Linked DNA regions of Macaca mulatta. Each later gene encodes a partner of the first gene's protein in a complex. Links are inferred from orthologs where the notes say so. Each region holds a gene or a part of one and is shown in the gene's direction. Other genes may lie near its edges.

Evidence for each region.
Region 2: ANP32A (region 1) and NME1 share a complex: the UniProt entries of both Homo sapiens proteins name them as parts of the SET complex. The link is inferred for Macaca mulatta from reciprocal best matches to the Homo sapiens genes ANP32A and NME1.
Region 3: ANP32A (region 1) and TREX1 share a complex: the UniProt entries of both Homo sapiens proteins name them as parts of the SET complex. The link is inferred for Macaca mulatta from reciprocal best matches to the Homo sapiens genes ANP32A and TREX1.

What each region holds. Positions count from the first base shown.
Region 1 is NC_133412.1:46,394,810-46,405,242, reverse strand, and holds the start of ANP32A (acidic leucine-rich nuclear phosphoprotein 32 family member A), read left to right. Parts: upstream 1-5,502; 5' UTR 5,503-5,648; coding exon 5,649-5,702; intron 5,703-10,433. UniProt on the Homo sapiens protein: Multifunctional protein that is involved in the regulation of many processes including tumor suppression, apoptosis, cell cycle progression or transcription. Promotes apoptosis by favouring the activation of caspase-9/CASP9 and allowing apoptosome formation.
Region 2 is NC_133421.1:58,847,937-58,858,201, reverse strand, and holds the start of NME1 (nucleoside diphosphate kinase A), read left to right. Parts: upstream 1-4,713; 5' UTR 4,714-4,763; exon of another isoform or gene 4,764-4,825; intron 4,826-6,729; 5' UTR 6,730-6,733; coding exon 6,734-6,859; intron 6,860-10,265. UniProt on the Homo sapiens protein: Major role in the synthesis of nucleoside triphosphates other than ATP. The ATP gamma phosphate is transferred to the NDP beta phosphate via a ping-pong mechanism, using a phosphorylated active-site intermediate.
Region 3 is NC_133407.1:111,871,405-111,881,343, forward strand, and holds TREX1 (three-prime repair exonuclease 1), read left to right. Parts: upstream 1-3,844; 5' UTR 3,845-3,974; coding exon 3,975-4,289; intron 4,290-4,342; exon of another isoform or gene 4,343-4,429; intron 4,430-4,747; exon of another isoform or gene 4,748-4,772; coding exon of another isoform or gene 4,773-4,784; coding exon 4,785-5,717; 3' UTR 5,718-5,762; downstream 5,763-9,939. Other genes in the region: ATRIP (ATR-interacting protein), read left to right, coding at 1,866-2,002, 2,162-2,253, 2,699-2,779, 2,948-3,200, 3,603-3,670; SHISA5 (protein shisa-5), read right to left, coding at 7,128-7,207, 7,382-7,594, 7,748-7,863. UniProt on the Homo sapiens protein: Major cellular 3'-to-5' DNA exonuclease which digests single-stranded DNA (ssDNA) and double-stranded DNA (dsDNA) with mismatched 3' termini. Prevents cell-intrinsic initiation of autoimmunity.

The sequences.
Region 1 (10,433 bases):
GGCCAACATGGTGAGAGCTCATCTCCATAAAAATTTAAAAATTAGCCAGGTATGCTAGCACATACCTGTGGCCCCAGTTACTTGGGAGACTGAGGCAGGAGGATTGCTTGAGCCCAAGAAGTCAAGGCTGCAGTGAGCCATGATCGCATCACTGCACTCCAGCCTGGGTGACAGTGAGACCCTGTCTCAAAAAGAAAGGAAAAAAAAAAAAAAAAGACCAACGCAGCAGAGTAAAACATGAAACATGTTCCTCCACTGGGTAAAAGTCCTCTAACACCTATCATGGCTATCTCATTTCATCATGTACAAATGAATTCAAAGTTTTTATACTATAGTTGCTAGGATCCAGAACTTCCAAAGAAAGTTTAGGGTATACATATACTCTCGCCTGAAAGGACCCAATATTTCAACTAGAAATACATTAAAAATTTACTAGTTTCTCAGAATGCATTAAATTGATTTCTAATTCAAGAGGCGTTGTAGAAAATGTTTTACAGATAGATCATTACTTAAGAGGTACAAATAACAATTGCCATTACAAAGCAGAGAATCTAAGAGGATTTAATTATTGTACACATAATTTTACTATGTATATGAAAGTTACAAATGCCATTTGCAAATAGCAAAAATATTAAAAGTTCCTAAAAAGTCTGATCTCTACCTCACATCTTAATAGATTTTAGTATTCTTTTCTTCATAGAGGTAAACCTCAACTCCAGATGGATTAAAACAAATCAGTAGAATCTAACTTAATTGTATTTCTATTTTACAACCAAAATTGCCTTAGGTCACTTTGTTCTATAGCTCCTCATTCCATTATCTGTCTTTAAGGCATTTATTTTTTTCCTTCACAGTCATATTTTAATACTAAAAGTAAGAGCTTACAGCTCTGGTTTTCTTCCTGATGAATGGTAAACAAACTTCCCTCATTGCTACTTCAAAATTGTCTTTAATATATTTAAGAAACTGATTCACAAAATTTTTAGAGACTTCCAAACAAGTGTGCAAGTGTTTTTTTTTGTTTTTTTTTTTTTTGAGATGGAGTTTTGCTCTTGTTGCCCAGGCTGGAGTGCAATGGCGCAATCTTGGCACATGGCAACCTCTGCCTCCTAGGTTCAAGTAATTTTCCCACCTCAGCCTCAGCCTCCCGAGTAGCTGGGATTATAGGCATGTGCCACCAAGCCCGGCTTTTTTTTTTTTTTTTTTTTTTGTATTTTTAGTAGAGATGGGGTTTTACCATGTTGGCCAGGCTGGTCTTGAACTCCTGAGCTCTGGTGATACACCTGCCTTGGCCTCCCAAAGTACTGGGATTACAGGCGTGAGCCACCACACCTGGCATTTTTTTTTTTTTTTTTATGAGACAGGGTCTGGCTATGTTGCCCAGGCTGGAGTGCAGAAGTGCGACCTCGGCTCACTGCAACCTCCACCTCCCAGGCTCAAGTGATCCTCCCACCTCAGCCTCTGGAGTAGCTGGGACTACAGGTGCACGCCACCATGCCTGGCTAATTTCTTTTCTTTTTTTTTCATTTTTGGTAAAGATGGTTTCACTATGTTCCCCAGGCTGGTCTCGAACTCCAGAGCTCAAGCAATCTGCCTGCAGCTTCCCAAAGTGCTGGGATTGCAGGCGTGAGCCACCGCACCCAGGCCTGTTTTTCCTTTTTAAAAGAAACCAACCATCTTAAAGCTGTTTGTAAAGATTTTGACTATTTTTTGTCTTTAGAGAAACAGGTCTTGCTATGTTGTCTGAGCTGTTCTTGAACTCTTGGGCTCAAGCGATCCTTTCACTTCAGCCTCCCAAGTAGCTGGGCCTACAGGGGCACATCACCATGCCTGGCTTATTAATTTTAAAAGTCACATATATGACTGTTTTCATCCAACAGTGCTTTTTGTCCATGACCAACCCATTGATAAAGTAACTACCCAATCATTAAAAAAAAAAAAAATCCTTTTTCTAAATTATCAAATACTTTATTAAGCAAAAGAAAATAAGGAATAAACTTTTTAGATCCCAGGCTTCAACATTATTTTGCTATTCAAATAAAAATGTAGTAGTTTTCACATTTGTTACCACAGATTTCAAAATAATAATCTACATTCCTAAAAACTATTTACATATACAAACAAAAGAGAATATAATTAAGCTGGAGTTTTTCCATGTCATTGTCTTTGGGGTTCAAGCAGCAGAACCATGATGTAGGTAAGAGTACTATGGCCGATTGCCAGTGATGTGATTCAAGTTCAAAAACAAAAAGCTGAGCTGTGGGTATATTAGCTTGACTCATAAAAAGGATGTTAACCAAAAGGTCTCCATCTTCAGAGACCAAACAAGGGCAAATGTGCTATTGGTGCAAAAGTAATTGTGGTTTTGCCTTTTTTTAAAATGGTAATTACTTTTGCACCAACCTAATAAAATGGCAATAGTAACGATATGGTTATTTGTAAAACAGTACTCTCCTACACATTTCAAAAGAGCCTAAAGATACTCATAGATCACAGGTCTTTAAGAACAAAATAGGCTGCTTATTTATTTGGAATGGTTCTTGATGGAGGATATTCTAGAAGGCGGGAAGATCTTTCCTCCCTTGGCCATCTCTCTCTCTAGGGGGTCAAACTTTGAATTGTATCTCATTTATTTTTCTCAGTGTGACTCAAACCTAGTTTCAGAGGTTAGAGATTCTACATCTTTCAAACACAATTCCTAATGTAGAATTACACAGTAGATAGGAACTCTTACCTGTTCCCAACTCCGTTTCAAAATTCAGCCAAGATTCCTTGATATAGGATTTCTTTTCTTTCTATATTTTCTGCATTGCCACTTAGAACACTTATTTACTCCTATAATATACAATAAAATGTAATTTAAAAAACAACTTTGTAAAATAAGGTATGTAAGAGCAGTGTTTTTTTGTTTTGTTTTGTTTTGTTTTTTTGTATTTGGTCATGTTGTGTGGGGCAAATACAGCTCCGCTTTGGCTGAGCTATATTCCTTTTTTTAATAATAAAAAAGCAAAATCATATGAAAATTTTCTTACAAATAGATGTATTTGTAAAAGCAAAAGAAAATTTCTTATTTCAAGTATGTAAGGAAAGCGGAAAGTATTCAATTGGTTATACATATACTTTTAGATATTTCAGTCTCTGTAATGACTGACATCCAGTGAAGCCTTCTTTCAATTTTCTAACATTAATACAAAAGTTATCAAAATGCATAAAAGTAAGATGCTTCTAAAAACAACTGTCACATTTAATGTTGTGATTTAGTAATCAGGTCATGATTTTTTCAACTCTAACTTTAATTTGTTTCTGTACTTTCTCTTTAATGGGAGAGGGGGTGGGCTTCTAAGTCTTCCTCTTGAGTCTTTGTACAATAAAGTGAGCTATTTGCTTCTATTTAGCAGAGTTGGATGGGGCATATCTCTGCATTTGATTGGTTGGTTTTTAAGGGATTACTCCTCTGGAAAGACACTGTCTCATATCGAATTGCTAGCAGCGTGGTCTTAACTGTGGTTCAACTTTTAAATAGAAGATGAACATTTACCATCAAAGAGAACACAAACTTCAGGACTCCTGTGTTACACAGATCATACACACTATATTGACCTGTTTTGATAAGGTTCTGTTTGAATACAACCCTAAACACCATCTCCAGAAACAACAACTGTCTCAATGGCATAAATCGGTAATTTGGGGTTTCTCGTGTATTACAAAGAAGCCAATAAAACTTAGAATAAATTCCAACTATACAAATAGGCTTCAGTAAGATTAACAAAATCTGAGGATGACAGGTAAGTCAACAAGTTAAATAAATTATACTATTTATACCCAGATGAAATAAAACAATGACTTCTAACTTTTATGTTGCATTTCCCACCTACTCAGAGTAAACATCAGACTTCAAATTCCATTTATCATTTTATCTGAAAGAATTTCCTCAGTCAAATCCTTAGTTGCAGGGCTTTACACTTGCAATCCATCAGGTTGCAACATTAAAGTTACTACAGCTTCTTCCCCAGTGTAAGCATTCTGTATGTGTTTTATTTACATTGTCACTTTTTACTTCCTCCTCAACTTTATATGTCTAAGAATGAAACTGTATTGCTATTATGTAACAGTATTTTAACTTTGCAACATACATACTGGTTTCTCTCTCCTTTGAACCCGTGTTCCTGAAAAATAAACACAATGTATCCGGAAAAACTATCTTGAGGTGTGTGGGGAAGAGTGCAGACATGTAGAAACAGACACTAAAATACAGTTGTGTGGAAAGGTAAGGATGTATCTGTCCTTGTTGACAACAATCCCCGTGGTTTATTAACAGCCACAGGCAGCCAACTTAGTGCCATAAGTCGGTAACCCAGTGGGCATCAGGGCTTTAGGGTCTCTTAAAACTTAATGTGATTCAAAAATACCCAAGGCAAGCACGCCGAAAAACCTGGAGAAAGTGCTCCAGTTAGAGCCTCCTTGGCAACCCAAACCGAACCAAATGACTCAGGTGGACGATTAGAATAAACCGTGCGCCGTTCTCTTTCACTAGGTCTATAAAGCCCATAAATTATGTTTCGTCCAGAAAACCAGGAGTTATGAGCACCTTCCTTTTCCACCTTTTAATATTCTGTATATCCAGCAACAGTTCTTAATCCATGGTCTTCATTCCTTTATTGCCTAAACAAGATCTTGGGTGTCTCCTGGTGATCACTTCTTCCAAGCTGACCTTATGTGACAGCAAACTGAAAAGCCTCTTCGTGGGAAGGGTCGCGACCGCGCGGTAAGTCATCCAAAAGTGGAAGCATCTTGCTTTTACTGACTTATGTATACGCGGGTGGCGACGGCGGCGGCCTGACCGGGACGAGGCCGGAGGGGAAGAGGGGCGCGGGCTGGGCGGCCGCGGCGGGGGTGACGGGGGCAGCCACGTTCCCCAGCGCTAGCCGCCGGACCCGGGACACGACGAGCCCCTCCCCGCATTGCACCCTGACCCCTCCCCTCCTTCCAGGCCTTTCATCTGCCCTCCCGCTGGGCAGCCCGCGGCCCCCAGACCTCAAGCCTCCCGCCTCCTTCCGCAACCCCGTCGCGCCGCCTCGCGAAGCCCTCAGCCGGGCTGGGACCCCGACCCGACCCCTCCGGCCGCGCCCCTCCCCCTCGTAGAACGCACCTGCGGCCCCGCCCCCGGCCGAACGCTGAGGCGGCGGCGGGCTGGCGAGGCCGGGCGGCTCGGCCCTCGAGGCACAGTCACCTTCCCTTCCCCCGCCATTCCGCCCACCCCCCTCACTCAGCCACAGAGCAGCCGCTGCGCTCCTCAGCCGCCCCGAAATCTAAAGGGGTCCGTCTCCGGCACCACAACCAAATGGCCGAGCCTCCCTGGCCGGCTGCGCAGCCCGCCCATTGGTCCCTTCCCCCCCCGCCGCCGCTGCCATTGGCTGTTGCCCGGAGACCCTCGGCGGCGATTGGCTCGGGCCGCTGCCGCTCGTCCGCGGGGCCGCAGATCCCGCCTCCACGGCGATCAGGTTAGTGTGCGCCGCGGGTGCTGGGGGCTCGAGAACCGAGCGGAGCTGGTTGAGCCTTCAAAGTCCTAAAACGCGCGGCCGTGGGTTCGGGGTTTATTGATTGAATTCCGCCGGCGCGGGAGCCTCTGCAGAGAGAGAGCGCGAGAGATGGAGATGGGCAGACGGATTCATTTAGAGCTGCGGAACAGGACGCCCTCTGATGTGAGCATTTGCCAAAAATATCTCTGTCGGTCCATTCTCCTACTTTGTGTGTGTGTGTGCGCGCTGGGGGGAGGCACTTTTTTCGGGGGGGGCGCCCGGGAGGTGCGGGTTTGGGGGTCGGACTGCAAGCGAATTGGCAAGGCTGGGGGGTTGCAATGCCATCCGAGCATGTTCCGGCTGCCGCCGCCGCTGCCCTTGGTGTGTGACTACCTGTGCGTGTGCTCCCGCGTGTGCGAGTGTGGGTGCGAGAGTGTGCGTGCGAGTGTGCACCCATCGGGGGCCGGCGGGCGCACGCGTTTGGGTCGGAGAGAATGAGGCGAAATCACCCTCGCAGATCGCTGCTCCCGTGACTCCGTCTGGGGGGAAGATTAACGAGGGAGGAGGAGGAGAGGGGCTGCCTCCTGAATTTAACAACAAAAAAAGGGGGTTTTACATTTTATAAATGTATCCCCCCTTCCGCCCCCCTCCCGCGCCTCCCCCCTCCCTTTCTCTCGCTCGCTCGCTCGCACACACAATAAGTTTGGGGCTTCGCGAGTCCGGTTTAGTTTCTGATAAATGTGGGCCGAGGGCCCCGGGGAGAGCGCGTGGGGAGGGGGCTGCAGCGGAGTTGGGAATGGCTGGAGTTTAAAGTGCGTCTTCATTTCTTTGCAGTGATGAGGCGAGAGACGGGGGAGCCATATTTGTAACTTTGTAGTGTTCGTGAACGCGCCCTTTCTCTCCCTCCCTCCCTTTCTCTGCCTCCCTTCCTCTCCTCCTCTTTCTCCCTCACTCTTTCCACCCCACCTTCGGGCCAGATGCTGATGTTTCTTCCTTTCCTTCCGAAGGGAGGATAAATTAGAAGGAGGGGGAGGGATTTTCGAACGTGCAAAGGCACAGATAATCCCCGCGCCTCCCTGCCTCCAGTGATCGCTGGTGCAAGTTGCCCAAAGGCTACGTCCCGGTCCCCCCTCGCCCCAGCTCCTTCCGGCCTCCCCAAGATGCCAGCCTTTGGGCCCTGGTGTCCCCCAGCTCGAACCCCCGGCCCGTCTTTCTCAGGGCTGGGCTCGTCGGCAGCCATTCGGCGCCTGCTTAATAAATGGGCACGGGAAACTTTGTCAGGACGCGAGCTGCCCGGAGCTGGCGCCGGTGGTGGGTACTGGCTGGGTCCACGTTTATGCGGGCATGGCAAACACGCAGCTCTAGGATGGGAGTTTGCCCGCTAGCCGCCGTTATTGATTGGGCAGCGGCGGGAGCACAGCCGGAGGAAACTTACACGGGTGGGAATCGCCAGGCTCGAGCGAAAGCCCACCCCCGAGGAGGGGGAAGGTGAGGGTGGGTGACTCGAACGCTGGTTTTTATTTCTGCCTCCCTCTCGCTTTCAAACCTGAGTGTTTTCGGCGAGTTGGCGGCTCTGGGGCGGAGACCCCGGCCAACTCCCCTCTTGGCCCCTCGGGGGGACCGGGGACGCGCTGGCGGGAGGACGCCCCCAGTCTCGGTGGCCCGAGCTCCACGGAGTTGGGAGTTTGGGCAGCACCGTGCGCTGGCCTGTCGCTCCTCCAGCCCGTTAAACCCGAATCCCCGCGAAGACAGGCCTCGCTTCCTCTTTTCCCTAGTTCCTCCCCCCAAACCTGAGTGAGACTTTTGAAAACAAGATCCTTTTTGTCTACCCCCTCCCCGCCTTAACGCAGCTGTGGACTGGAGACGTGCGAGTGCCTTATGGCGCGCAGGGCGGGGAGGGGGCGGTCGCGGGAGAGTAGGGGGCGCCGCCGGAGGAGGCCGGAGTTTCCCCGCACTATTTGCCATTGGTTTGCTTCTCTCCGGCCGCTTTCGTCCTGGCCGGGACCCGGCGCCTTGCGTTTGGGGGCTGGGTGTGGTGATGGGGGAGGGGGTCGGGGCCGCGGTCTTCCCGCGTACTTTCCGGAAGCCCCCTGCGCGGAGGGGGAAGGGCGCCGAGCGCGGGGTCGGGGTCGCCGCGGGTGGGTGTGGGGGCGCGGCTGGCCTGGCGAACCCGACTGACGCTGCCGGCCCCCCGGGAGCGAGCCGGAAAGCGGGTCGAACCGGCTCTTTAAACTTCCCCGAGTGTGTGTGTGTGTTGGGGAGGGGAGCGCACCGCGCCGTTCTGGGAGCGATTTCTCACGCTTCGCCCCCTCGCCTCCCAGCCTCGCGGCCCACACGCCTGCCCCCTGCCTGGAGGCGGGGTGGGGCGCGGGTGGCGGAGGAGGGGGCACTTTCTGCACATTTGCGGGGGTGGGGGAGAAAGCTAGCGAAAGAGGGACAAAAGGGGTGGGGGAGGAGGAACTGTATTTTTTTAAACGTTCTTAAGACAAATGGCTCCCAGAGCGCGCCCCCTGCGCCCCTCCCCGCCGCGCTGCTCCCGGGCCCCCCACACACCCACCTTCGGCACCTCTCCCAACTGGGCTCCGGGAGCTGGTGGCCATGCCGCGACGCCGAAATAGGACGAGCAGCCATGTTTCCCGGGGCTCGCGCCGCACGCCCCGCCCCTCCTCCCCGGCGCGGGGCGCGGGGCTCGGAATGCGGGCTCCGGGCTCCATGCGGCGCGGGGCGCGGGCAGGCGGGCGGTGGGGGTGCAGTACGCGCGGGGCCGGCCTTGTGGCTTCCCGGGCTGGTTTCGAGCTCCAGGTTTTATTTTTATTATTTGTTTTTGTTTGTTTATTTATTTTAACGGCTAGGCCCGCCAGGGGCTGAGCCCGAAGGGCGCCCAGGCGTTACTGGGGGGCAGGAGCCGCCGCCAGGGCCCTGCGCGCCTGTGGCACGACTGCCGGGCGCCGGGCTGCCATTTTGTCACCGTGGCTGTTGTCGCTGTGGGGGGCGGGGGGAGCGGAGTCTTGCGCCATCGCCCCGACGGCCTCCCGCGCGGAGGCGGCAGGGGGAGCCGGCATTGGGGACCCCCAGTTGTGCTCTGAGCCCCGATGGGGGTTTCCGCCCGGCGCCAGCGGCCTGAGGCTGTGCTGGAGCGTCACGGCGGCCGCGGCGCCGGGAGGACGACGATCCTCTGTGCAAGTGCCCCCCCACGCGCTCCCTGCCTCCCACGCCCTCCTCTCCGGGGTTTCGCTGTTCCTCCTGCAGGCGTTCAGACGTAGTTAAATGTGGCCTTAAGGACTAACCGTTCGCTCTGGTGTTTGCTCTTTCGGCGGAAGTGATAGAGTAAGGGGAACATTAAACATGAGGTTCTTTTGGCGGGGGTGAAGGGTGTCGCGCACGCGACTGTAGTGGCCCTGACTGAAGCCAAGGACAGCAGCCTCTTCCCCGGGAGGGAAGAGTTGTCGATCCGTTGGGGAAACGCCCTCCCGGGCTGGGCTCTCCGGGAAGGTAGGTCGAGCTCCGTGTTTCAGGTGGATGTTGCAGCGCCCTGCAGGCTAGGGGAACCCTCCTCGGTCTTAACCTGCTCCTTCGCCCTTTTATTTTTGCCTGGGGGAAGACAGCTACAATAGTAATGAGGTCCTAAACCGAAAGAGAGGGATGAAGGTTTGCTTTTGAAAAAAGTAAACCGCCTTCCTCCGGCTGTTGACTTAGGAGCCAGGCAATTCGTCGTGTCGGGTCCTCCGGTGCTGGCGTCTCTGAGAATTTTTAAAAGCCGGTATTTAGGTGCTGGTTAAGCACCTCACGAGCTGAACTCTGGTATCTGTGCAGAGACTAACTTTCATGGCAGTGTCCAGCAGAGACTGCCTTGGAAGCCAGCTTTTACTTTGACCTTTGGAATACGTCGCATGATGTTTTCCAGGCTGACTTACTGCCTAATTGGGTTCAAGTAGCGTGGTATTAACTCCAGTTTATGCAAGCCAACCAGGAACTCACAGGCAGAAAATTGAGCCTGAAGTTCCCGTATGGTCATAGTCAGTTGAGTTCTGCTGCTGATAGTTTGGAGTCTGGGGGGCTCCATGATGAAGATGGGCTTAGGAATTACACAGACCTGGGTTTGAATTCCCCCTGCCACAAGGAGGTAGGATACGTTTACCTGCCCTTGTGACCTTGGACTGGTGAGCTTAACCCACCTTTTTGAAACTTGGTTTCTTCACCTGTAAAATGAAATAATTCCATTTAATCAGTAAATGATGACAAAACTGGTTTGATATGACTCTCAGTATATGCTGTCTATATGACAGTGTTAGTCTCCGAGACATATCAGGGTGCTTCCAGGCATTACTTTGAGCTCCTCCATGGTTTAGGATAATAACAATATTAGCTAATGCTTACATAGCAGCCACGCTGTGTCTGGCACATTTCTTAAGTGGATTACATGTATCAACTAATTTAGTCCCCACAACAGCACTGTGAGGTAAGTATTATTATCATCATTATTGTGCATATGGAAATTGAGGCATACAGGGGTTGTCATGTGACCAGGGAGTGGCAGAACCAGGACTCAAACTCAGCCAGTCTGCATACTCAACCTCTACACACTCCTTTGAAACACCCTTTTTTCTTAAGATACCGTAAGGAAGAGCTTTTACTTCTCCAGCTTTGGAGTGGTGCCACCTTAGAAAGAGAATGAGTTTTCTATTATTGAAGATGCTGAAATGAAGAGTGGATAGCATCCTAGTTGAAGATGTTAGAGGGCCAGGAGGTTCAGGACCAGGGGCTCTGGATTATCATTTTATGAAGCCATGCATTGAGTTTACTTTAGCACATCACAGTGGGTTAGATTGAAGTGGATCTGGCCTTTAAGGTGCTGGGGGACACGTTTTGAGTAAGGAGAAGACAAGCAGGAGCTGCTCAGGCAGTCTGCATCTG
Region 2 (10,265 bases), on another chromosome or scaffold:
AGGAATAAGAGAACAATGGCTACTCTACAGGCAGAGCAGTTATTTCTTGATTATATGCTAAACAAGGGGTGGATTGTGAGTTTTCTGGGAAAGGGATGGGCAATTTCCCCTCTCCCCCAGCTGAGTGCTCCTCACCTTTTTAGACCATATAGGGTAACTTCTGGTCGTTTCCACGGTATCTGTCATGGAGCTGATGGGAGTGTCTTTTAGCATGTGAATCCATTATAATTAGCATATAATGAGTAGTGAGGGTGACCAGAGGTCACTTTTGTTGCCATCTTGGTTTTGGTGGGATTTGACCAGCTTCTTTACCACTGTTTTATCACCAAGGTCTTTGTAATCTGTGTCTCATGTTGATCTTTTTTATTTTTTTGAGACGGAGTCTGGCTCTGTCGCCCAGCCTGGAGTGCAGTGGCTGGATCTCAGCTCACTGCAAGCTCCGCCTCCCAGGTTCACGCCATTCTCCTGCCTCAGCCTCCCGAGTAGCTGGGACTACAGGTGCCCGCCACCTCGCCTGGCTAGTTTTTTGTATTTTTTTAGTAGAGACGGGGTTTCACCGTGTTAGCTAGGATGGTCTCGATCTCCTGACCTCGTGATCCACCCGTCTCAGCCTCCCAAAGTGCTGGGATTACAGGCTTGAGCCACCACGCCTGGCCGCTTTTTTTTTTTTTTTTTTTTTTTTTTTTTTTTTGAGGCGGAGGTTTGTTCTGTTGCTCAGGCTGGAGTGCAGTGGTGCGATCTCAGCTCACTGCAACCCCTACCACCCACGTTCAAGCTATTCTTCTGCCTCAGCCTCCCGAGTACCTGGGACTACAGGCGTGCACCACCACGCCAGGCTAATTTTTGTAGTTTTAGTAGAGACGGAGTTTCGCCATGTTCGCCAGGTTGGTCTCAAACTCCTGACCTCAGGTAATCCCCCACCTCGGCCTCCCAAAGTGCTGGGATTACAGGCATGAGCCACCGTGCCCAGCCCTTGTGTCGATCTTCTATCTCATCCTGTGACTAAGAATGCCTAGCCTCCTGGAAATGCAGCCCAGTAGGTCTAAGCCTCTTTTTACCCAGCCCCTATTTAAGATGGAGTTGCTCTGGTTTAAAAGCCTCTGATAGTATCTTATTATACTGTGCAGGCTGGTCTTGAGCTCCTGTCTTCAAGGGATCCTCTTACCTCAGCCTTCCAAAGTGGTGGGATTACAGGTGAGAGTCACCATACCTGGCCCATTCCCTTATCTCTAATTTCTGGCAACCACTAAACTAGTCTATCCTCCATGTCTATACTTATGTTATTAATATTTCACAAATGTTAAATAAATGCAATAATACAATATGTAACTTTTTATGATTGGCTTTTCTTCAGTCAGCATAAGTCCCTTGAAATCTATCCAAGGGAATTACGTATATTGCATGTATTAATAGTTTGTTATTTTTTTCTTTCGTTGAGTAGCATTCCAGGGTATGGATGTAGCATAGTTTGTTTAACCATTCACATGATGAAAGACATTTGGGTTGCTTCCAGTTTTCAGTTATAACAAATAAAGCTACAATGAACATTTGTGCACAGGTTTTTGTATGAACAGAGAGCATAAGTTTTCATTTCTTTTTTTTTTTTTTTGAAACGGAGTCTCGCTCTGTCGCCCAGGCTGGAGTGCAGTGGTGCGATCTTGGCTCACTGCGACCTCCGCCTCCCGGGTTCATGCCATTCTCCTGCCTCAGCCTCCCGAGTAGCTGGGACTACAGGCGCCCACGACCACACCTGGCTAATTTTTGTATTTTTAGTAGAGACAGGGTTTCACCATATTGACGAGGCTGGTCTCAAACTCCGGACCTTGTGATCCGCCCACCTCGGCCTCCCAAAGTGTTGGGATTACAGGCGTGAGCCACCGCGCCCAGCCAAGTTTTCATTTCTGTTGGATAAACGCCCAAGAGTGCAATGGCTGGGTCATATGGTAAGCACATGTTTAGTTTTATAAGAAACTATCAAACTTTTTCAGAGGGGCTGTACAATTTTACATTCCTACCAGTAATATGGATCCAGTTTCTATACCTCCTAAGCGTTTGGTGTATCACTACTTTTCATCATAGCATTCTGGTAAGCAGGTAGTAGTATCTGATTTTGGTTTTAATTTGAATTTCCCTGGTGGCTAATGATGTTGAACATCTTTTCATGTGCTTTCTTGCCTCTGTATATCCTGTTCAATGAAATGTCTATTCATGTCTTTTTCCTATTTCCTAATTGGATTTTTTTAACCTGTTGAGTGTTCAGAGTTCTTCAAATATTCAAATCATCAAATGAAGAGAAGGCCTTTATCTGATATGTGGTTTGGAAATATTTTCTTCCACTCTAGCTTGTTGTTTTGTCCTCTTCAAAAGGTCTTTCACAGGGCAAAGGTTTTAAATTTCTTTTCTGCAGGGCACAGTGACTCCCACCTGTAATCCCAGCACTCTGCGAGGCCTAGGTGGATGGATCACCTGAGGTCAGGAGTTTGAGACCAGCCTGGCCAACATGGTGAAACCCCGTCTCTACTAAAAATACAAAAATTAGCCGGGTGTGGTGGTGCATGCCTGAGGCAGGAGAATGGCTTGAACCCGGGAGGCAGAGGTTGCAGTGAGCTGAGATCTGCCAAGGCAATCCAGCGTGGGCCACAGAGCAAGACTGCGTCTCAATAAATAATAAATAAATAAATAAATAAATAAATAAATAAATAAATAAAAGGCCGAGCACGGTGGCTCATGCTTGTAATCCCTGCACTTTGGGAGGCTGAGGCAGATGGATCGCTTGAGGTCACGAGATCGAGACCAGCCTGGCCGACATAGCGAAACCCTGTCTCTACTAAAAATACAAAAATTAGGGCAGGGTGTGGGGCCTCATGCCTGTAATCTCAGCACTTTGGGAGGCCGAGGTGGGCGGATCACGAGGTCAAGAGTTTGAGACCAACCCGGCCAACATGGTGAAACCCCGTCTCTACTAAAAATACAAAAATTAGCCGGGTGTGGTGGTGGGCGCCTGTAATCCCAGCTGCTAGGGAGTCTGGGGCAGCAGATTCGCTTGAACCCGGGGGGCGGAGGTTGCAGTGAGCTGAGATCGCACCACTGCACTCCAGCCTGGGCGACAGGGCGAGTCTCCGTCTTAAAAAAAAAAAAAAAAAAAAAAAAAAAAAAAGCTGGGCGTGGTGGCAGGCACCTGTAGTCCCAGCTACTGAGTCACCAGAATCGCTTGAACCCGGATGGCGGAGTTTGCACTGAACCGACATCGTGCTACTGCGCTCCAGCCTGGGCGACAGAGCGAGACTCGGTCTCAAAAAGAAAAAAAACAAAACAAAACAAAACAGGAGAATAATGAAATTTTACTTATTTTATTTTATTTTATTTATTTTTTAGAGACCGAGTCTCGCTCTGTCACCCAGGCTGGAGTGCCCTGGCGCAATCTCGACTCACTGCAACCTCTGCCTCCCGGGTTCAAGCGATTCTCCTGCCTCAGCCTCCCGAGTAGCTGGGACTACAGGCGCCTGCAACCACGCCCTGCTAATTTTTGTGTTTTTAGTAGAGACGAGGTTTCACCATGTTGCCCAGGCTGGTCTCGAATTCCTGAGCTCAAGTGATCCTCCCGCCGCCGCTTCCCAATGTGCTGGGATTATGGGCGTGAGCCACCGTGCTAGGCCAAAAAAGTTTTAAATTTCAGTACGTTCCAATTTATCAACTTTTTCCTTTTATAGATTGGTCTTTTGGTGTCGTCTAAAAACTATTTGCCTGGCCCTAGGTCCTGAGAATTTTTTTTAACTCTTTTTTTTTCCCCATCAGTGATTTATTGTTTTATGTTTAAATCTATGGTTCATTTTGAGTGAATTTTGTATAAGGTGTGAGGTTTAGGTTGAGGTTCTTTGGGTCTATATTTGTCCAATTTACCCAGCATCATTTGTTGAAAAGGCTCCTGATTCCATTTTTGTACCTCTCCCCTGAGAGCAGTGGGAATGTTTTTTTGAAAAAGTATGTCAGTGATGATGTGATGCCTTGTGCAAAATCCGTATTGGCATCTCACAGCGTAAGATTTGGCTCTATTCTAACGGCATTTTCTACCACTCGATATCCACTGTAATACTTGGCTCTCAGGGAATCACTGGGCTGGCTCGCTCACTTCATGCAGGTCCATTCTATTATCACTTCCTCAGAGATTTCTCTGGCCTTTTCTTCACAGCACTTACATAATGAGATCTATTACATATTAATTTGCTTATCTGTTTCTTGTTTTCCTATACTCCTGTCCCTCCCAGAAGCTCCAAGAAAGCATACTGTTGTATCCCTAGGGCCTAGAATAATGCGTCCACATAGTAGGTATTCAATAAAATCTTTTGCTTGACAGGTTAGAAAAGGTGAATAAACACAAAGCGGGAGCGAAAAGTTTACTTCTAGGTCAGGCGCTTTTTGGACGTCATGCAAAGTGTGAGCGCCACCTCTCGGGAAGCCAATTTGCTCGCGAACAAAGGAAGTGAGTCAGAGAACCCGGGGGTGGAGGGAAAAAAGCAAGCAGCTAACCGGAAAGGTCTGAAAAAGCTAGCGCCGGAAGTTAAACAGTAGAAAGTTGTTCCCTAGAATGACTGCCTACTCCCAAGAGGAAGCGTGGGCGAGCGGTGTTCTGCAAAATGGGCTCTCCGGCAGCGGATCTGCGCCGAAGCGTTCCGTGCGTGCGAGTGCTGCGAACCACGTGGGTCCCCGGCGCGTTTCGGGTTCCGGCGGCTGCAGCCGGAGTTCAAGCCTAAGCAGCTGGAAGGGTAAGAGGTGTTCGGGATCCTGAGAGGGAAAGGAAAGGAGTGTAGTCGCCGGAGAGAGTTAGGTGAGGAGTTAGTGAAGAGGTCAGTTCAGCTCTAAGAGGCGGCGAGGAGGATCGGATGGGAGGAGGGGCAGGGAGCGCCTGTGGACAAGTGCAGACCGGTCGGCGCACATCCCATGCCACATGGACTCTCCTTTGTCGGTGGCCGCCTTTCTCGTCAGGCCGCGACGACAGGGCTGTGCCTTATTTGCCTCTGTCGAGAGCAGTGCCGGGAACGGAGTTGGCGTTCTATAAGGCCTTGCTGAATAAATGACGGGCGTGTGTGTCATTCATTCAGCAAGGACTGAGTGCTTACTGTTGTGTCACCGGGATCGATGTGGAGGGACATTTTTAGGATCTATTTCTGGCACTTTAGTCCTGTTTTCTCCTGGACAATATTCTTGCCCCGCACCCCATCGGGCGATTCTCCGCAGTCTTTGGGCTTTGTCTCTTTTTTTTTTGGAAGTTGCAGAGTGATGATAAATGATTTTCTTTGCTCTTATTGACTGCTAGGCCCTGTGGCTAGGTACCATAGACCTACACAGGAGTAAATCAGCCTGGTATGCAGGCCAGAGACCGGTGGGGAGGCAGACACACAAACAGAAAATTGGGCTACGGTGCTAAGATGCTGTAAGAAGAGGTTAACTAAAGGACAGGAAGGTGGGGCCAATAGGTGGAGCTGCTGTGTACATCAGAGATTGTCTTTCAAGGCGAGGGGCCTCCCATCTCAAGATGTGATACAGGGTACGTCATGAGCCAGTATTCTGTAAAATGAGGGATCTGGACAGAATAGGTACTCTCTAGGCTTCCTTTCAGTATGATGTCCCGTATCAGGTATTCCTAATGTCTGTAGCTCTCCCACACCCCACCGTTTATTGGCTAGTCAAAATATTCTTTGCATTGTAAAGTGTAGCATACATTACAAGAATGGATTAATGGGTTGGGAATGCTGGGTTTTGGCCTTCATTCTGGTGCTCTGGTCCTGTTTCCTCATTTGTAAAACGAAGGGGGTTGTAAAGATATATTCTCTAAAACCCCTAATGCTATGGATGTGACATTAAGTCAAACTATTATTTCTTACTGCTTTGTGCCAGACATCACTTTCACATTAGTAAAACTTTGTATCAGTGTAGTTTCTCCCAAGCTTGATTACTGAGAAAGATAGTTTTTACCTCCTGTATCCTAGTTCCACCACAGTGTTTGGTACACAGTAGATGCTTAAAAGAAGCTTATTACATCAAATGGTGGCCAGGCACGGGGCTCATGCCTGTAGTCCCAGCACTTTGGGGGGCTGAGGCCGGTGGATTACTTGAGGTCAGGAGTTGGAGACCAGCCTGGCCAACATAGTGAAACCCCATCTCTACTAAAAAAAAAAAAAAATACAAAAATTAGCTGGGCGTGGTGGCACGCGCCTGTAGTCCCAGCTATTCAGGAGGTTGAGGTAGGAGAATAGCTTGCCTGGGAAGTGGAGGTTGCAGTGAGCCAAGGTCACGCCACTGCATTCCATCCTGGGCGACAGAGCAAGACCCCATACCAAAAAAAAAAAAAGGGGCTGGGCGCGGTGGCTTATGGCCATAATCCCAGCACTTTGGTAGGCTGAGGTGGGTGGATCAGTTGAGGACAGGAGTTTGAGACCAGCCTGGGCAACATGGCGAAACCCCATCTCTAAAAAAACCACAAAAACCAAAACAAAAATAAAATAAATCAAATGGGATAGAAATTATAGTCCTTGCTTTTGGATCCTTTCCCACATTGACATATTTGTTCATAGATGAGGGGACTGGGGAGGAACTGGGTTTTTAGCAGAGGGAGACCTGCAGCTGACCTGACAGATTTGAACCAGCTTTATGGGATAATCCGCTTGAGGAGGATGACGATGTAGGCAAGTGATTCAGCGCCGTTTCATTCCTCTACCTGCCTATCCCCAGGACCATGGCCAACTGTGAGCGGACCTTCATTGCCATCAAACCAGATGGGGTCCAGCGGGGTCTTGTCGGAGAGATTATCAAGCGTTTTGAGCAGAAAGGATTCCGCCTTGTTGGTCTGAAATTCATGCAAGTGAGTGGACTTCATTGTTCCCATTTTGATTTCTTCATAGTATGGGAGAACACTGTGATTAACCTGTTTCTCCCCGGCTTTCTTATTTAAACTTCTTCATGGTAGAGTGGACAGAGTGGACACAAGTATCTAGAGACCTGGAAACACCTCAGTGCCTTAGCGTTTGGCTACGTTTAGGATTTTCCAAAATAGTCTCTGTAATATGAGGTGCATTGCTATGGGAAAAGCAGTGCAGAGTTCCACATATGACTGCATCTCTGTAATTTTTGACTCAGCTGAGCATGTTTGAGTTCTTGGTCTTGAGCTTCCTAAGCAGATAATTTTAGAGAGATTTTTTTCCCCCTTTGAGACAGGTTGTGTTTTTAGCAAGAAAATCTTCCATCAGCAATTACTAGACACTCATCAATGCTTATTGTCTAGCATTTATTAGGTACCATAGGAGCTTGTGGAGGAAAACTATGGTTTTGGTTTTGGGGAGGTTCTCCTGAAATAGCAGAGAGCAGATGTACCTGCAAGCTACTTACAAAGCAATCTTCTGATAAATGCAAGGGATTGATTGACCAGTAACCCCTCTTTAAACACATTCTAGAGATAAGAATTCAAATTCTTGGCTGGGCGAGGCACAGTGGCTCATGCCTGTAATCCCAGCACTTTGGGAAGCCAAGGCGGGCTGGTCACTTGAGGTCAGGAGTTCAAGACCAGCCTGGCCAACGTGACGAAACCCCATCTCTACTAAAAATACAAAAATTAGCTGGGTGTCAGGGCGGGCACCTGTAATCCCAGCTACTCGGCAGGCTGAGACATAAGAATTGCTTGAACCGGCCGGGCGCAGTGGCTCAAACCTGTAATCCCAGCACTTTGGGAGGCCGAAACGGGCGGATCACGAGGTCAGGAGATCAAGACCATCCTGGCTAACACGGTGAAACCCCGTCTCTACTAAAAAGAATACAAAAAACTAGCCGGGTGAGGTGGCGGGCGCCTATAGTCCCAGCTACTCAGGAGGCTGAAGCAGGAGAATGGTGTGAACCCGGGAGGCAGAGCTTGCAGTAAGCCCAGATCGCGCCACTGCACTCCAGCCTGGGCGACAGAGCGAGACTCTGTCTCAAAAAAAAAAGGAAAAAAAAAAAAAGAATTGCTTGAACCGGCCAGGTGCGGTGGCTCACGCCTGTAATCCTAGCATTTTGGGAGGCCGAGGCGGGCGGATCACCTGAGGTCAGGAGTTGGAGACCAGCCTGACTAATATGATGAAACCCTGTCTCTACTAAAAATACAAAAATTAGCCAGGCCTGGTGGCATGCGCCTGTAATCCCAGCTTCTCGGGAGACTGAGACAGGAGAATTGCTTGAACTGGGGAGGTGGAGGTTGCAGTGACTGAGATCGCATCATTGCACTCCAGCCTGTGCAACAAGAGCGAAACCCCATCTCCAAAAAAAAAAGAATTGCTTTTGAACCCAGGAGGCGGAGATTTCAGTGAGCCGAGATTGCACCACACCGCAGCCTGGGCAACAGGGAGACTCCGTCTCAAAAAAAAAAAAAAAAAAAATTCCAATTCTCAAATAAATAGGGGATAGTATGTTTTCCTAAAAGGGCATCAATTTTGGACCTTTCTAGTACATTTTAAATTTTAGTTTGACTTTCAATTTACTTACTATGTGATGTTTTAGAAAAATTGCTTTAGGGCTGGTGTGGTGACTCGCCTGTAATCCCAGCACTTTGGGAGGCTCCATCTCCAAAAAAATAAAAGAAAACTGCTTTAACGTAAAAGAGGGTAGACTGATGTTCATGCCGAGAGGAGAATGTGGTGTCCAAGCTCTAGGAGCTGGCATCTAATGTAGGTTTTCTTGCTGCATCATGCCATAACAGAATAGAAGGGCAAGAGAGTGCAAGAGTGAGAGAGAGCTAGAGAGAGAGCAAGAGGGGGTTGACCTTGATTTTATAACAAACCCACTCCTGAGATAAGACATTAATCTATTCATGAGGGTGAAGCCCTCATGACCTAAAACCTCCCATTAGGCCCCACCTCCCCACATTGTTGCATCAAGGATTAAATTTCCGACATGGGAACTTTTGGGGACACATATAGATCACAGCAGAAGGTAACATGAAATGAATGTGTTGTTGATCAGGCATTTACCATATGCTGGGCACATATGTTTCCTGATTTAGTCTTCATGCCAGCCTTGAGAAGTACTTCCTCCTGTGTTCGTGGTTGTTAGTGATGAGCAACCTAAGGCTTGAAGAGGTTCAGTGATGTGCCTGATAGCATACAGTGATGCCGCTGGGATTTTAACTTGAGTCTCTCTGACCCCTGAGCGCAGACATTTTCTCCTTTACATTGAATTTCCTTTTTTTTTTTTTTTTTTTTTGAGACGGAGTCTGGCTCTGTCACCCAGGCTGGAGTGCAGTGGCCGGATCTCAGCTCACTGCAAGCTCCGCCTCCCGGGTTTACGCCATTCTCCTGCCTCAGCCTCCCGAGTAGCTGGGACTACAGGCGACCACCACCTCGCCCGGCTAGTTTTTTGTATTTTTTAAGTAGAGACGGGGTTTCACCGTGTTAGCCAGGATGGTCTCGATCTCCTGACCTCGTGATCCCGCCCGTCTCGGCCTCCCAAAGTGCTGGGATTACAGGCTTGAGCCACCGCGCCTGGCCTGAATTTCCTATTAAGGATATATGGGTTTGGTGAAGAATGGATGGAAGGATAGCGGCCATGACTCTAAAGGGCTATTTAAATCTGCTGTGGAGGTAGGAAGCAAGGGAGAACTTGAGGTTCCCAACCCCCAAGCCCTTAAAAAAGCCTATGATCTGCTTGGCAGACTAAAGATCATCAGTTAGGGCCTGGTGTGGTGGCTCACACCTGTAATCTCAGCATTTTGGGAGGTCAAAGTGGGCGGATCATCTGAGGTCAGGAGTTCGAGATCAGCCTTGCCAACATGGTGAAACCCCATCTGTACTAAAAATACAAAGTTTAGCTGGGTGTGATGGTCCATGCCTGTAGTCCCAGCTACCAGGAAGGCTGAGGCGGGAGGATGGCTTGAACTTGGGAGGTGGAGGTTGCAGTGAATGGAGATCGAGCTACTGCACTCCATCCTGGGTAACAGAGCAAGACCCCATCTCAAAAAAAGATAATCAGTTAATCGGGTGTAGTGGTGCACACTTGTAGTCCTAGCTACTGAGAACCTGAGGCAAGAGGATTGCTTGATCCTGGGAGTGTGAGGCTGCAGTGAGCTATGATCATGCCGTTGCACTACAGCCTGGGTGGCAGAGAGACGCTGTCTCAAAACACACACACAACAAAACCAACAAAAAGATAATTGGAACCAATTAATAGAATTAAAAGAGTATTCTGGTAAGGGAGGGTCACCTCAGTGTCTGTTAGGAGACTTCACGACAAAAGTCTTCCATTTG
Region 3 (9,939 bases), on another chromosome or scaffold:
TTTAGTAGAGACAGGGTTTCACCATGCTGGCCAGGCTGGTCTCAAATGCCTGACCTCAGGTGATCCACCCACCTTGGCCTCCCAAAGTGCTGGGATTATAGGTGTGAGCCACTGGGCCCAGCCTTGGTTATTTGTTTAATAATTGTTAAATGAATGAATCCCAGGCTGGGCACAGTGGCTCCTGCCTGTAATCTCAGCACTTTTGGAGGCCAAGGTGGGAGGATCACTTAAGCCCAGGAGTTTGAGACCAGCATGGGCAACAAAGCGAGACTCCATCTCTACAATTTTTTTTTTTTTTTAATTAGCCAGGCATAGTGGCAGTGAGCTGTGACCATGCCACTGCACTCCAGCCTAGGTGACAGAGTGAGACCCTATCTCAAAAAAAAGAATCCCAGAAACCATGTTTTTGCTGGTGGTAGACACACCATTATTCCATTCCTGTTGAGCTTGTCCACAGGGACATTCAAAACATAGCCATGGCTGGGTGCTTATCTATTTCATGTACTGGGGCTCTTCATAAAATTTCATTTAAAAAGGTTCTTATGGGCCAGGCGTGATGGCTCACGCCTATAATCCCAGCACTTTGGGAAGCCGAGGCGGGTGGATCATGAGGTCGGGAGATTGAGACCATCCTGGCTAACACGGTGAAACCCCATCTCTACTAAAAACACAAAAAATTAGCTGGGTGTAGTGGCACCTGTAGTCCCAGCTACTTGGGAGGCTGAGGCAGGAGAATCACTTGAACCCTGGAGACAGAGGTTGCAGTGAGCTGAGATCATGCCACTGCACTCTAGCCTGGGCCACAGAGCAAGACTCCATTTCAAAAAAAAAAGAAAAAGTTATTACACTATCAAAAAATAACTTGGAAACCACTGTGTTGTATATAAAGGTGGATTTTCCTTGCAATACCTTCTGCAAGTGGCAGATATTGGGCTTCTTACAGCCCAGTAATGAAACCAGGTAACAACCATGTTAAATTGAAGCTTCCCGCAAAGGTCTGCACACCCTGGCAACTAAAAAGCATTGGACTTTTTGTCTGCTGTGCAGGATTTGCTCTAAAGTGAGTTCACCCCACATAGTGAGACCTTGCTTCCTAAGGACATACTGAGGGATATCTTGACCTTCTGTGCTCAAGAAACTGCAGATGTCTGAAGGGGTACACAGCTGGCCAGTCCCCACAGGGTGTTTCAGAATTGCTCTTCTCTCCACCCACCAGGCCAGTCCACCGTGCTTCTCCAGGCTATGTGGGTTTAGCAAACAGCAGCAGTTGCCTTGGGGCTTGGTTTCTTGGTAATAGCTTTCCTTTTGCCCCTGAGACCTGTGGCAGTGTGCCCAGAACTCCTCCCTCCTGCACACCCCACAGTAGGCACATTCTCCTACTGGCAGCAGATACGTTTTCTAACAAGTAGAGAAAATGGTTTTTCTTGCCCTGCAAGAGGTCTCATAAGATCCAACTATAGCCAAGGCCATGTTTATCACTTGTGGAGCCCTGGCCGATCCTTCTATGGGCACAGAACATTTCTCTCCCACCTAAGTTAGGACCTGCATCCCTGTTTGGGAGCATATGGAAGCCAGGCATCCCAGGTCCAGGAGGTCATCCCACTTCCTGGGCAGTGCTATGCCAGATGAGGGCCTGTCCTCTCAGCTGCAGCATCTTGCAGTGGAAGTGCCTGCTTGTTCACATGAAACAAGTTTCATAGTAAGTAAGTGGAGGTCAGGCCAGCACTGAAACCCAAGTCTGGCTGAACCAACTCACCTGTTCGTATTGCCTTGCTCAATTTTCTGTTACCTCTAGTGGAATGTGAGGGTAGGTTATGAAGCTGTGGTTGGGGAGTGTCACTTCTCTCTGGGTCCTTGTCTTTTAGGTTCCAGTGTGTGTTCCAAGTGCTGCCAAAGTGCCTCAGCCCAGAGACACCCCTGCCTGGCGTGGTGCTGGCTGTTGAGCTCCTCTCCCTCCTTGCGGACCACGACCAGTTGGCACCTCAGCTCTGTTCCCACTCGGGTAAAGCAGGGTGGGGCGGGCGTCTGGACTGCTCCTGCAGATCAAGGGAAGTGTTGGGGTGGGGACAGGGTCAAGGGCCTCGGAGGGCTTCTGCAGCATGTAGCCCAGGCTCTTCATGAGAAAGGGCACCCTGAGTGAGAGGTGCACTGTCCTTTTCAGAAGACTGCCTCCTGCTGCTGCTGTACATGTACATCACATCACGGCCTGACAGAGTGGCCTCAGAGACACAATGGCTCCAGCTGGAACAAGAGGTAAAAACTCCAGAGCCCCTTCTGGACACTGTCCCCACCCCATCCTAAGAACCGACAGAATCTCCTCTTTCTACTGGGGAGAAAAGGAGCTTTAGTTCATTTTAGTAACGAGTATATCAAGCAGCTAAAGAGGTAAACTCAGTTTGGGGGCTGTGCACTACACAGATGCAATGCAGACAGGAATTGGCAGAGTTGCCTGATGACTGAACCTGTCCTGGCTTTGGGGCTTGGGGGCAGGATGGGGGGCTGGAGGCAGGTGGGTTGCTGGTGAGACATGGGTGCTCGTCCTGGGTCTGCCCTGGGAAGGTCCCACACCACTTCTTGGACCCCATTTGTGCAGACAAGCAGTTGCTGAAGTAAGTGAACTCTTACAGAAGCTTGAGAAAGCCCTCACAGGGACTGGTCTTCTTCTGCCCACGATGGAGCTGATCTGTTCTTGTTCTAGGTGGTGTGGCTCCTGGCTAAGCTTGGTGTGCAGAGCCCCTTGCCCCTAGTCACTGGCTCCAACTGCCAGTGTAATGTAGAGGTGAGTAGGCAGGGGCCAACAGCTGGCAGCTCTGTGGGTGGTAAGGGGACTCTGTGCAAGGACTGTAGACCCCACTGCAAACCCCCTCACCTGAGGTGGCTAGGCTGAATGGATTGTTAGGGTGCAGGCCATGGTGGCACCAGACAGTCTGTGCCCCCTCTCTCCCAGGTGGTCAGAGCGCTCACGGTGATGTTGCATAGACAGTGGCTGACAGTGCGGAGGGCAGGTGGGCCCCCAAGGACTGACCAGCAGAGGCGGACAGTGCGCTGTCTGCGGGACACGGTGCTGCTGCTGCACGGCCTGTCCCAGAAGGACAAGCTCTTCATAATGCACTGCGTGGAGGTCCTGCATCAGTATGACCAGGTGATGCCGGGGGTCAGCATGCTCATCCGCGGGCTTCCTGACGTGACCGACTGTGAAGGTGAGCCTGCCAGAGGCCCTCCCGCCCAGCCCCCACGGCTTCTCCCTGAGGTTCCCCAACAACTCATATTCCTGGGCATCCCCTCAGCAGGCCCCTGCCCATTACAGCCTGTTCCGGCACTGGGGTCATTTTCTTTTATCTTCTGCCCCAGTTCTTCTCCAAGCATATTGGGCTGCCTTTTGCTCCTATCTGTTGAATGTGCCTGGCAGAGCCACAGTTTTTCCAGAAATACCTGTGTCTGAATTGCTTTTGTATCACTTTGTTTGCAGTAGCTGAGGGAGCAAGGCCTGGGTCTGGAAGGGACTGGTTAGTTCCTGCGGGCGTTGGGGGAGGAGAGGTGGGACCCGCCCTAGGCCCTGGCACCTTTGGGCCCTCACCAAGAACCTCTCCTTTTTGTCTCAGAGGCAGCCCTGGATGACCTCTGTGCCGCGGAAACCGATGTGGACGACCCCGAGTTGGAGTGTGGCTGAGGCCCTGAGTGTCCAGCCACATGGTGGCACCAGCACCATTCCTTTCCTTACCACATCAACTGATTAAAGCAGTGACCAGCAGGAACTGCCCAGAGAACCGGCTGGCCTTGTTTCCTGAGTCTAATCTCTTTGGCGGAGTGGGAGGGGTGGAGCGGGACCGGGACGGGACCTTGAGTGGCTGGGATCCTTCTTCCTGTCCCTGGCTGCTGCTGATCCCCAGTCCCCATGGTAACCGATCTGCCTTGAGGAAGGAGCCCTGCCTTGCCTGTGGAATTGTCCTGAGTCATTGCTTTGGGCTGGGGCCATGGGAAGAAACCATTGTGTGGCAGGGAAGGAGGTGGCTCTTGGCCCAGGCCTAAACCAGGAAAGCCTGGAAAAGTGGGACCCACAGGTGGGCACGAAAGGGCTGCAGCAGGAGCTCCCAGCAGTGTGTAACACCGGGAGCTGGTCTGGCGCCACTGCCCTGGTCCTTCCAGCTGCCTGTCATTGGTGTGATGGCCCGGTGCATTGTGCCACCATCAGGCCACAGCCGTGGATCTCAGAAGGCCTCTGGGGTCCCCTGGGGGCGGGGAAGTGGGGGTGGGGGGACGGATGTTGGCGAGAGGGACAGACCAGGCAGGCTGACGAGCAGGGCGGGCCTGGCTCACGTGGGGCTGTAGGCGGGCCCATACCAAGTTTCACTTCCCGCCACTGCTGCCAGCGAGAGCCGCGGGAGAGTGTGCAGCAAAGTCACTACTGCCTGCCTGCCTGCCTGCTACGGTAAGTGTGGCTCCCCAAGGGGATGGCGCAGGGCAGGAGGGCCATGGGTTCCCCGACCCCAGACTAAGGGGGCACTAGGGGAGGGGCCAAGTCATGTGAAGAGGGAGCCCTCTCAGACAGTCGAATGTGCTGGTCCCACTAAGGAAACCACCCCACCCTCTCCAACTTCCTGCCTGAAAATGGGCCCTGGAGCTCACAGACAGGGCAGGATTGTGCAGGGAAGGCCTGAGATGTGCTTCTGCCCACCCCCTACCCCACTCCCTCCCCTTCGGATCTTAACACTGGGCACTCACACACCCACCCTATGCTCCTCCCCAGGCTCAGCGGCAGGTCCTACCCAACCATGGGCTCGCAGGCCCTGCCCCCGGGGCCCATGCAGACCCTCATCTTTTTCGACATGGAGGCCACTGGCTTGCCCTTCTCCCAGCCCAAGGTCACGGAGCTGTGCCTGCTGGCTGTCCACAGATGTGCCCTGGAGAGCCCCCCCACCTCTCAGGGACCACCTCCCACAGTTCCTCCACCACCGCGTGTGGTGGACAAGCTCTCCCTGTGCGTGGCTCCGGGAAAAGCCTGCAGCTCTGCAGCCAGCGAGATCACAGGTCTGAGCACAGCTGTGCTGGCAGCGCATGGGCGTCAATGTTTCGATGACAACCTGGCCAACCTGCTCCTAGCCTTCCTGCGGCGCCAGCCACAGCCCTGGTGCCTGGTGGCACACAATGGTGACCGCTATGACTTCCCCCTGCTCCAAGCAGAGCTGGCTATGCTGGGCCTCACCAGTGCTCTGGATGGTGCCTTCTGTGTGGATAGCATCACTGCGCTGAAGGCCGTGGAGCGAGCAGACAGCCCCTCAGAACACGGCCCAAGGAAGAGCTACAGCCTAGGCAGCATCTACACACGCCTGTATGGGCAGTCCCCTCCGGACTCGCACACGGCTGAGGGTGATGTCCTGGCCCTGCTCAGCATCTGTCAGTGGAGACCACAGGCCCTGCTGCGGTGGGTAGATGCTCACGCCAGGCCCTTCAGCACCATCAGGCCCATGTATGGGGTCACAGCCTCTGCTGGGACCAAGCCAAGACCATCTGCTGTCACAGCCCCTGCACACCTGGCCACAACCAGGAACACTAGTCCCAGCCTTGGAGAGAGAAGGAGACCCAAGGATCTTCCTCCAATGAAGGACCCTGGAGCCCTACCCAGGGAGGGGCTGCTGGCACCACTGGGTCTACTGGCCGTCCTGACCTTGGCAGTGGCCACACTGTATGGACTATCCCTGGCTGCACCTGGGGAATAGGCCAAGAAGGAAAATCTGAAGAATAAAGACCCCCCCCGTCCTCCAGCACTGAGTGGTCACTTGGCTCCTACCCTTCTTGGCAGTCCAGACCTCTGCCCACACTCAGGGACCTGGGGAGGAGGGCATAGTGTTTGTCCCTCACTTTCCCTAGCAGGATGATCAACTATCTGAGCTCAATAAAAGTAGGGAAAACACGAGAAGCCCGAATGGTTGATGGAAACAGTACAGCCTGATCCCAATCCCAGCAGCCAGGAAGAAAGGGGACAGCAGCTCCAAACGATTGCATTTATTATAAACAAGAGTACAGACCCCAGACTCAGAAACACAACAGATTTGAAGCTAAGACAGCTCTGGTGAAACAGTAATGGAGGAGGAACACCGAGGTATTCATGTCTGGGCCAGAGCTGCCATCCAGGGCCCCACACCCCACCTTTGGTCCAGATGGCCCCTTGGCCCAGGTGTCCCTGCTGCCAGAACACCCTGGACTGGGGTACCAGGGTTGCATATTCCATGAGGCTGGTGTCGGGGAAAGCAGGGACTCACAGTTGCCAGGTTGTCCGTCTCCTCTGAGCCAATTTCCCTCCACTATCCTGGGGTTTCAGTCTCATATCAACTATCATGTTTAAAACAGAAAACAGGCAAAATGTTTGGCTAAAATAAAATGAAAACACGGCAGGGAAGAGACCTGAGTGTGCTGGTGGACAGGAGCCCTGCTCACCTGTGGGAAGGGCAGGGCCAGCAAGGGCAGCAGAGCTCCCTGTGGGCAGCTAGGCTGTGTGTGGATGTGGCCCTCCGGGTGGTCCCAGGGAAGATGCAGGGACAGGGGACAGTCCAGGCAGACAACTCTCAGGTGAGAAGGGCTCTGCCTGAGGTGTTCTGGCATCAGGAGGCTGCCTGACCCCCAACAGGCACGACACAGGCTCCAGGGAACAATGGGACATCTGCCTAAAGAATCAAAGCCCAACTTGGTCAGATCCCAAGCTTCGCCTGCATCACCTCAAGCAGCAGCTGGCTACACTGCCAAAACCAGGACACATCTGCATCATACAGAAAGCTGCGCCACCCTGGTGCGACAGGCCATACTTGGTCACCCTAGGGTAAGCTGGAGAAGAACTCCAGATGTGCCCTGGAGAACCCCCCCACCTCTCAGGGGCGACCTCACAGGGTGCCCCCACCACCCCATTCTTTGAGTTTGGCTTGAGATTTTAGGAAGCATAATTTCAGGTGAGGAAGAGAACAAAGTCTGGTCCCAGCCCACTCTGGCAAGGATCATTCCCCACCTCGTCAGCATCAGAGGAAGCCACATATACAGGCAGGACACACACAGCACGGCTGGGACATAAGGAACCGTGCCTGCACACCACTCACACACAACATAACCAAGTGGCAGCCAGAGAGGTCGGAGAACACTCAGAGGGCCGCCTTCGGGGCATCCACGTAGGCCGGGTTGTAAGGAGGCTGGCTGGCAGGGTAGGGCGCGGCTGCTCCTCCTGAAAGCAGAGAGGATCCTGGTTGGCTGTGAGCATGGTGGGCTGCCGTATGAGTGGCAGGCGAGCAGAAAGGGGCAGAGGCCTATTCAGTGATGTACTCTGGGATGGGTGCCCGAGGGATGCTGGCAGATACTCAGGGAGTTGGGCAGGGCTAGAGTCAGCAGGGGCACTCACCAGCCAGGGTCTCGTGGTAGGCCGGCGGGCCCATGGGTTGGGCCGGGTAAGGTGGTGGGTACTGCATTGGGTAGGGTGCTGCTGGCATCCCTGGCTGAGGTGGCATGGTGTGGTAGCCCTGGTAGCTTGGTCCAGGGTAGCTGGGCGGCACACTTGGAGGCTGAGGATAAGGGGCATGCACCACAGTGGTGGATGTGGTGGTGGTGACAACCGCTGCAAAGAGAATTCCAGTGAGGACCCTCCTCCACCTCCCCAGGTATTAGGGCCAGGCTTGCCACCCATCCCTCCAGCTTAGCCAAAGCAGGGCCTGGTCAGCTCCCCTTGCCATCCCAGGGGGTCACAGTGGAGCAGGGTAGGCACACTTACGACGTGGTCGGCGGCACGTCTTGTACAGGCAGCAGCAGGAGCAGGTGAAGCAGATGATGATAGCGACGACAGACAGCACAAAGATGGTCAGGCCAACGGCCAAGGTTGCTCCGAACCTGCCAAAGAGCTGGATGTGACCTGGGGCCCCTCGACCCTCCCCCGAGACCAGCATCCACACTCCACCCCTTCCCAGGGCACGCCCCTCTTGCCAGAAGGGGTCTGGGCAATACAGATACAGCTACTTCCTTGTTGGGTGGCCTGCACCTGTTTCAATCTGTTTCCTTGTGTGTAAACTGGGGTATATGTGAGTCTCTATAACCATCTTGCCCCGGGTCTGCCCCGCTTGTCCCACCCTCAGAGGCATGGGAGGAAGCTCAAGTCCCACCCCACACACATACATCTATCTTGTCCACCTCACAACCAAGTGATGAGGAGATGGGTATAGGGCACATGCCACAGTCAGGCACTGTGATTTGAGTCAAAAAACTTAACAGTGGGCAAGACAGCCAGCCCCGGCCTCTGGGAGCCCACAGTCCAGTGTAAGAGGCAGACAGTGAAGGTAAAATGGCTCAGGAAGCACGGGGTGAAGAGAGAGAGAAGCCCCAGGAGGGTAGAGGCCAGTGTGGCCGGAACAGGAGGCCCCTAGTGTTCCCCTGCACTCCACGACAGCCCCAGGGCAGGGAGGCTGGCCCCTGAGTGATAAGGACAGTTGCCTCTGCCTGCAAGCTTGCTGTGTGCCAAGCACTGTGCCAGGGGTCACACACACCCCTGGGTCCCCCACCTCTGACCTGCTCGGCCACTTCTACAGGTGAAAGGGCCAAGAGCCAAGGGGAGGACACAGAGGCCTGGAGGCAGGAGGTCAGAGGGCCTGCCCTTTGAGAAAGCAAGCCTGGGCTGGGAAGTTCACCAAAATTGACTTCTAGGCGGGGGCGGTGGCTCATGCCTACAATCCCAGCACTTTGGGAGGCCGAGGAGGGCGGATTACCTGAGGTCTGGAGTTCGAGACCAGACTAGCCAACATGGTGAAACCCTATCTCTACTAAAAATACAAAAATTAGCCAGGCACGGTGACAGGTGCCTGTAATCCCAGCTACTTGGGAGGTTGAGGCAGGAGAATTGCTTGAACCTGAGAGGCAGAGGTTGCAGTGAGCTGAGATCACACCACTGCATACCAGCCTGGAGACAGGAGCAAAACTCTGTCTCAAAAAAAAAAAAAAAAAAAAAAAAACCCTGACTTCCAAGTGCAGACAGAGCCCCTTACTAGCCACCCTGCCGTGTTTGCAGAGGCCAAGCTTCATTCTTCTCTTTTTCAATTTATTTTTTGAGATCTCTGTCGCCCAGGTTGGAGTGCAGTAGTGTGATCACAGTTCACTGCAGCCTCCACCTCCCAGGCTGAAGTGATTCTCCCACCTCAGCCTCCCCAGTAGCTGGAACCACAGGCATGCACTACCACATTTATTTTTGTAGAGACAGGGGTCTCACTATGTTACCTAACTGGTTTCCAACTCCTGGCCTCAAGCTATCTTCCCTCCTCGGCCTCTCAAAGTGCTGGGATTAAAACTGTCATCATGGCCGGCCAGGCGCTGTAACTCATGCCTATAATCCCAACACTTTGGGAGGCCAAGGTGGGTGGATCACGAGCTTAGGAGTTTGAGACCAGCCTGGCCAACATGGCGAAACCCCGTCTCTACTAAAAATACAAAAATTAGCCGGTTGTGGTGGTGCACGCCTGTAATCCCAGCTACTCAGGAGGCTGAGGCAGGAGAATTGCTTGAACCCAGGAGGTAGAGGTTGTAGTGAGCCAAGATCGCGCCACTGCATTCCAGCCTGGGAGACAGAGTGAGAATCTGTCTCGAAAAAAAAAAAGAAAAACAAAAAACAAAAAAAAAACTGTTAGCCTGACATTTTGTGCTGGATGATAAAAGGTTTTAAAAAATAAAAAGCGGGCTGGGCACGGTGGCTCAAGCCTGTAATCCCAGCACTTTGGGAGGCCAAGACGGGCGGATCACCAGGTCAGGAGATTGAGACCATCCTGGCTAACCCAGTGAAACCCCGTCTCTACTAAAAAATACAAAAAACTAGCCAGGCGACGTGGCGGGCGCCTGTAGTCCCAGCTACTCAGGAGGCTGAGGCAGGAGAATGGTGTAAACCCAGGAGGCGGAGCTTGCAGTGAGCTGAGATCCGGCCACTGT